Macaca fascicularis: one gene and its partner. The protein of the gene in region 1 interacts with the protein of each later gene in a pairwise test. Links are inferred from orthologs where the notes say so. Each region holds a gene or a part of one and is shown on either strand. Other genes may lie near its edges. The genes, in order: BRAP and NUMA1.

Evidence for each region.
Region 2: the proteins of BRAP (region 1) and NUMA1 interact in a two-hybrid assay, tested with the Homo sapiens proteins (2 studies listed by BioGRID and IntAct). The link is inferred for Macaca fascicularis from reciprocal best matches to the Homo sapiens genes BRAP and NUMA1.

What each region holds. Positions count from the first base shown.
Region 1 is NC_088385.1:118,568,898-118,572,710, forward strand, and holds part of BRAP (BRCA1-associated protein), read right to left. Parts: intron 2,913-3,813; coding exon 2,723-2,912; intron 1-2,722. UniProt on the Homo sapiens protein: Negatively regulates MAP kinase activation by limiting the formation of Raf/MEK complexes probably by inactivation of the KSR1 scaffold protein.
Region 2 is NC_088388.1:70,766,726-70,770,538, forward strand, and holds part of NUMA1 (nuclear mitotic apparatus protein 1), read right to left. Parts: intron 3,424-3,813; coding exon 3,355-3,423; intron 1,972-3,354; coding exon 1,852-1,971; intron 1,770-1,851; coding exon 1,551-1,769; intron 1,430-1,550; coding exon 1,272-1,429; intron 1-1,271. UniProt on the Homo sapiens protein: Microtubule (MT)-binding protein that plays a role in the formation and maintenance of the spindle poles and the alignement and the segregation of chromosomes during mitotic cell division.

The DNA of each region.
Region 1 (3,813 bases):
GGGCTCTAGCCCCGTGGGGAAGAACGTGCAGCAACCTGTTTCACAGTCACAGAAAAAGATCTGTCAACTTGAGCAACCTTCACTTGATCAAAAGACAGACGGGGAAGGACAGTGCAGAAATACAAGGAAAATCCATTCACAGTAAATATTCACAGTATTACCTGCACATTACGAAGGGCAGTACTTGTTATAGGGAACTGTGTGGGTTTATTAAACAGGTGAGTGTGGTGCATTTGTAAGACTTCAGACTATTTTAAAAGCCTAAATGTTCTTGAACATTTTTGTCTGGGTCTTTTCCTTTGTTATTTGCTTATTGCCCTAGTTGTTAAGTAGAAACTATAACAATACTGCTGTCATCGAATGTCTCACAACCAACTGCCTCCCTTCCCCACACCTTCATCCCACTTCCTACTAGAAGAGGAACGCGTCCCTGGAACTAAAAGTGAGGATGCCACTCTTGCTTGCCATTTATGTCTAGCTATGTAACCCTGGGCAAACCACTTATCTCCCTCTGCAGTCACCCCCCACATCTGTAAAACAAGGATAACAATACTGTTTCCGCAAGGGATTGTAGTGAGGATTAAATGAGACAAAGCGTATTGAACACTTAGCATAGTGAGTGATACAGAAGCCATCGATAAACGCTGGATATTATCATCGTTATCCTTATTATTACATGTGCTACCAGACTGAAATGGCTCAAGGCAGGATTTTCTCATGGTTTGCAAAGCTCCTTGGCAACCTTGGAAGGCTTTCTGACGGTCAGTGAAAGGAGCTATTCAAGTGCTTTTCTGTTCTTAATGTCAACTTGTAAACTTTAAATCTACGGGATAATTGAAACGTGTTTTAAATGTCTCCCTAAATGATAGGGTACTTTGTAAAGATAAAACATATTAACTGTGTACTCTCTTGTAGACAGAACTCCACACTAAAGCTTCTCTCTGGGGCTCACAGAACAGGTACACTCTTCCACTTCATTAAAAAGACAATGAGGCCAGGCACGGTGGCTCACGCTTATAATCCAAGCACTTTCAGAGGCCGAGGCGGGCAGATCACCTGAGGTCTGGAGTTCGAGACCAGTCTGACCAACATGGAGAAACCCCGTCTCTACTAAAAATACAAAATTAGCCGGGCGTGGTGGTGCATGCCTGTAATCCCAGCTACTTCGGAGGCTGAGGCAGAAGAATGGCTTGAACCTGGGAGGCAGAGGTTGCTGTGAGCCAAGATCGCACCATTGCACTCCAGCCTGGGCAACAAGAGCTAAACTCTGTCTCAAAAAAAAAAAAAAAAAAAAAAAAGAAAATGAAAGAAGTGGGGTTAATGGAAAATAATAAGATGGTGTTAACTTCAAAAAGTTTGGGAACTACTGCTTTTCTGGAATAGTTACCACTTGTTTAAAAAAACAAGCAGGCCGGGCATGACGGCTCATGCCCGTAATCCCAGCACTTTGGGAGGCTGAGGCGGGTGGATCACGAGGTCAGGAGTTCGAGACCAGCCTGGCGAACATAGTGAAACTCCGTCTGCATTAAAAATACAAAAATTGGCCAGGTGCGGTGGCTCAAGCCTGTAATCCCAGCACTTTGGGAGGTCGAGACGGGCGGATCATGAGGTCAGGAGATCGAGACCATCCTGGCTAACACAGTGAAACCCCATCTCTACTAAAAAATACCAAAAAAACTAGCCGGGTGAGGTGGCGGGTGCCTGTAGTCCCAGCTACTTGGGAGGCTGAGGCAGGAGAACAGCGAAAACCCAGGAGGCAGAGCTTGCAGTGAGCCAAGATCCGGCCACTGCACTCCAGCCTGGGCGATAGAGCGAGACTCTGTCTCAAAAAAAAAAAAAAAAAAAAAATACAAAAATTGGCCAGGCATGGTGGTGCATGCCTGTAGTCCCAGCTACTCAGGAGGCTGAGGCAGGAGAATGGCGGGAACCCGGGAGGCGGAGGTTGCAGTGAGCCAATACCACACCACTGCACTCCAGCCTGGGTGACAGAGTGAGACGGAGTCTCACGCCCAGGCTGGAGTGCAGTGGCGCGATCTCGGCTCACTGCAAGCTCCGCCTCCCGGGTTCCCGCCATTCTCCTGCCTCAGCCTCCTGAGTAGCTGGGACTACAGGCGCCCGCCACCGCGCCCGGCTAATTTTTTGTATTTTTTTTTTTTAGTAGAGACGGGGTTTCACTGTGGTCTCGATCTCCTGACCTTGTGATCCGCCCGCCTCGGCCTCCCAAATGGGGCGACAAACTTCATTATTCAAATCTTATTACGTTGTCTCACTCTTGTCACCCAGGCTGGAGTACAGTGGTGTGATGTCAGCTTTCTGCAACCTCTGTCTCCTGGCAAAACCTTAGATTTCATACCGAATCTGATCTATAAAAAATCATGGGCATAAGGCCAGATGCAGTGGCTCAGAGCAACTGTAATCCCAGAACGTTGGGAGGTCAAGGCAGGAGGACTGCTTGAGGCCAAGAGTAGCCTGGAAAACATAGCAAGATCTCATCTCTACTGGAAAAAAATAAAAAAAATAAATAAAAATACCATGGGTATACGTTATAATTGTATTTCTGCTAATGAATTTAGAAATACATCTAGAATTAGAATTATATCTTAGAAGACATATCAAGAATCTTAAGTGCAAAATGCCGTAAATCACAACAGCTACTATCATACAGTTTCAATAACACAGTTTCTGTGGCAAAGAGATTTTTAATAACTTTAATAACTTTTACCTGTGCACTAAACTTTATCAGCACCATATATTGGTTGGGAGTAGAGTCTCTGATGATTTTCATTTGTTCAATTACTTCATTAAATGGGGCGACAAACTTCATAAGGTCATGACTGGTCATTGCAGCAGGGACTGTGAGAATACACAGCATGGCACTGCGCCGCACATCTTCTTTTAAGGAGGTCATCTTACTAACAAAACAATAATTAGAGGGTCGTAAATAGATGAGGTATGGTTAAACAACAGCAGACAACTTTTATGTCCAAGAAAACAGGAAAAAATAAAATTTTAATATTTCATTAATGAATTGTTCTACATTATACCCCCCCACTGGACTTTTTAATCTTCACTTCAATGTTTATTATGGTTAGAAATCTGCATTAGGCAAATTTGCAGTGTTTTACTCTTATCTATGTTTGAATAATAATCTGTCACTGGTGGCTAGGCGCAGTGGCTCATGCTTGTAATCTCAGCACTTTGGGAGGCTGAGGCAGGCAGATCATGCGGTCAAGAGATCGAGACCATTTGGCTAACATGGTGAAACCCCATCTCTACTAAAAACACACAAAAAATTAGCCAGGCCTGGTGGCGGGTGCCTGTAGTCCCAGCTACTTGGGAGGCTGAGGCAGAAGAATGGCATGAACATGGGAGGTGGAGCTTGCAGTGAGCCAGATCGCGCCACTGCACTCCAGCGTGGGCGATAGAGCAAGACTCCGTCTCAAAAAAAAAAAAAAATGTCTGTCACTGATTAACTTAAAAGCACAACTCTGGCTATGGACCTCTCTTAAAGGGCCTAAAAAAAGAGCTCTAAATATAAGAGAGTTCTCTATCTCTCTTTTTTTTTTTTTCAGATGGAGTCTTGCTCTTGCTGCCCAGGCTGGAGAGAAATGGCACGGTCTCGGCTCACTGCAACCTCTGCCTCCTGGGTTCAAGCAATTCTCCTGCCTCAGCCTCCCAAGTAGCTGGGATTACAGATGTGTGCCACCACGCCCAGCAAGAGAGAATTCTAAACTATGAGGATGTAACTGAGTATTACAGGAAATGTTACCAAGTTGGGATAGCTGGAATAGAGAGGAAAGAAAATCCTCCCAC
Region 2 (3,813 bases), on another chromosome or scaffold:
TGAGGTACAGTCTTTTGGGCTAGAAGGCATTTTGTCCAGCCCTTTTCCAAAGTGACCATTTTCCATACTATAAGCAGATGAGGTCAAGCAACCCATGTCTCTGAATTTTCAGAGGTACCAAGGAAAGCCCTTGACCTGGGCCTTCCCTTCAGTCCACTCCCCTGGCTTCTCCTAATACCTCCTCATAGTGGCAATGCCCAGACCCAGATGTCCCATCCTCACCAGATGCCCACGGCTGCTCCACAGCAAACACGTCCCAATCTAAGCCCACTTCTCTGTTCTTCCTCCTTCATCTCCCATTTCAGTGAATACGAGCACCTGCCACTCAGGCCCCCAAACCATGAACATGGGCATAATTCTATGTTGTCCTGCTTGGGAAGCCCAATCACCAAGCTTCCTCAACAGCTCTCCTAACCATACCCTCTCCATGCTTATGTCCTTTTCCTGGTTTGTCTCATCTCCTCTCACCTAGACTCATCATGGCACTCACAGAGGCAGATGAGTGGTGACAAGCAAGGACTCAGGCCAGGCTGCACAGGGTCAAACCCCAGCTCTACCACTGGGGGACCTTGGGCAAATGACTACCCCTCTATGCCCCAGATTCATCTGTTAAAGGAGACAGAATAAACCTACCTCAGAGGGTTGTTGGGGGATAAATCAGGTATAATTGTTATGAGTGCTTTATGTCTAGCACAAAATAAGTACAATGTAAGTGTTTAATAAAAACAATATGTATTTCCAGTCTTAACTTCTATATTGGCTATTAGAATCATCTTTTTAAGATGGAAATTAACCATGTACTCTTCAGTTTCAAATTCTTCCAAGGTTCCTTTTTTTTTTTTCCCTTAAACCTTTCAATTATAGCCACCAAGGTTTCCTCAATGCCTTTAGGATCAAGTCTTAATAGCCGGTCTCCAACGGGGAGTCCAGATGGCCCTCTAGGATCTTGGGCCTTCCTGGCCTTGCATCTCAGCCTAGTCAGGCTCTTTCACAGCCTCTGTTCACACTGCTCTTCTCTGTCAACCTGGCACACACACCTATGGATGCTTTCAAGACTCAGCAGGAGCGATAGCTTCCATGAAGCCTTTCTTGACCGCTTGCTTTTTATTCCAACTGTGCCCTAAACAGACATCTGGTATAATACCTGTTTTTCTTTATTCTTCTCTAAGAATAAATTTGGATCACATCTTATTTATCTCACCAGGATACAGCCTGATAAACAGCGGGTACTCCATAAACAACAGACATAGGGAGGAAGAGTGCCTCCTGACCTAGTGATACTGAGTGGGGTCCCCTCCTCGCAGCTCAGATCCAGGCTGTCAATACTCAAGTCCAGCTGGGGCTTAGCCTGGGGCTCACGGCTCTTTAAAGCATCAGTTGCCACCTGGAATTTGCCCAGGTCTCGAAGCTGCTGGTCTGCGTGGGCAACCTGAGAAGGAGAGGGCCAGGGGGAGAGTGAAGAAAAACCTAAGGCATCAGTGGCCTAGGAGGAGAGGGCACAGGGGTCCAGTGGGATAGGGGTGAGGTGAGTCTGCCAGCCAAATTCTTACCTGTGCCTCCAGGCTGCGCACCTGGGCAGTAAGGTGGCGGCATGTCTGTTCAGCCTCCTTGGTCTTCAGCCCAGCCTGCTGTAGCTCATGGCCCAGCCGTTCGGCTTCAGCTCGCAGCTCTTTGTTTTCCTTCTGCAGGTGCTCCAGGCTCTGCAGCTGCTCCTGCAGCTCTTGGTTCTGCTGCTTCTTGGCATCATAATGAGTTTTGGCTTTCTCCATCTGTGGGCAGAGAGGATGGGTGGGTGGGGCAGAGGCTGGAGGGCAGGAAGAAGGTAGCATGGGCTGGGGCTGGGCTCCTTACCTGCAGCTTATAGTGCTCAGCTGCCTGCTCCTTCTGGCTCAACTGGGCTTGCAGTTCATTCAGCCGGGCCTGGAGGCGCTGGGCCTCCTGCTGGCTCTCACCGCCCTGAGCCTGGACAGCCTGAGAAGAAAGTCCACTCAGGAAAGCTGGTCTGGCCCCTCTACCCAAGTCCACTCATCTGCATCAGCCACTGGGGCTCAAGAGGTGCTTCAGACTCCTGCACTTAGGAAGAGGAAGAAAACCACACCACCCCAGATACACTCCACCCGACTACAGCCTACTGAACCTGAAGTCCACATGCCCTTCAGTCCACATCCATAGTGGCCTTTCCCTGACCAGCTCCTGCCCTATCTTTGCCTTCTTTGAGATAGGACACAAACTGTCTCACCCTCTTTGCATGCACACACAATCTCCCCTAGGAGGAAGGGAACCGATCCTCGAGGAACACCCAGGTGCGGAGCCTGGAGTGAGGCACTTGGCATGTGAGCTCTCTGAGGACAGGGGAACTTGTTTCTCCTCAAAGCCACTCTGAGAAGTCACTTCATCCCCTTTTCAGAGGAGGAAACTGAGTTCAAAGATTTAAGCAAATTGACCATAGCAACAATGACTAAATGGCAGAGTAAGACTTGGTCCACTAAACTCCAAAAGCCCGTGGGGGCTTATTTATGATGCCCACACTGCCTCCTGTCCAGACTATAACTCCTTAAGAACAGGGCCTGATTCTCTGTCCATCTGCAAGGCCAGCAAGTACTCTGCGGTAGATACTGTACAGAAACATCCCACCTTTGCCTCTCCTAACACAGGACAGGCCCCACAAGGAGCAGAATAAACATTTGTTTATTGCAATCAAGACATGCTGTGGCACCATGGTATGAAATGAAGCTCTGAGCTCCCACCAACTCCTAGGACCCACCAGGGCTTTAGTGAGTCCCAATACCACTGATGTCCAATTCCTTTGCCCCTGACTAAAGGCTGTGCAGCCTAGAACTGCAGAAAGCAAGTATTAAACCAAAGAAGGTGACACAGTTGGAATCATTAAGAATGTTATTAAACTGCATTGTAATATTCAACACTGGTGACACTCGTTCTTTCCCTGCCCAGACTATCTGGACTTACATGGTTCAACAGAACTTTATGCAACGGTGGAAAGTTCTGTATCTGTGCTGTCCAATGCAGCAGCCACTAACCACATGTAGCTACTGAGCAGGGACACAATGTAGCTAGTGTGATTGAAGAACTGGATTTACTTTAATAAATTTCAATAACCACACATGACTAGTAGCTGCTGTAGTGGAGACAGTTGAGAGATGGGAACCACCCTGGTTGTCTCTTGAGAGCTCCCAGAAGACACACGCAGGGGCTTCTAAGCCACAGGCTTCCTAGGAGGGCTGCCTGGAACACAGGGTGCCCCTCCTCTGCCCCCACACCCCCACGGCCCGAGAGCTTAGAGAACAGCTTTCCTCCCCTGTCCAGAGGCCAGACCCGTTCCCCCAGCTGCCCCACCTTCAGCTTCTGCTGCTGCACTTTGCTGGCTTGGTCAGAGTCAGCCAGTTTCTTCCTCAGTTCTTCCACCTGGGGAGGGAAGAGGAGGACAGAAGACTCAGGAGGACTTCCCCTGGATGTTCATCCCAGATGTCTACCCATCATGGGGTGGCCCAGACCAGGATCCCCAGTATTCCTAGAATAAACTCAGGCCCTTTCTCTGGCCTCCAATTAGGGAACAGCCTGCTGCCCAGGCTGCTTGGCAGGGCCTGAGTGAGGCAATCTAACACATAAATGTTGCCAGGGCCACCTGTCCATACTTGCCTCTACCCTGAGCCTGCAGAGAAAGAGGCCTGCCCAACCCCTGTCACCTCCAGAATCGGAATTGACTCTGCAGAGCTGACACTTCACCACCACCCTGCTGCTGCCACCACTCTGCAGCCGCAACCTTCCCAGGACCTAGTCTGTAATTCTAGCCGA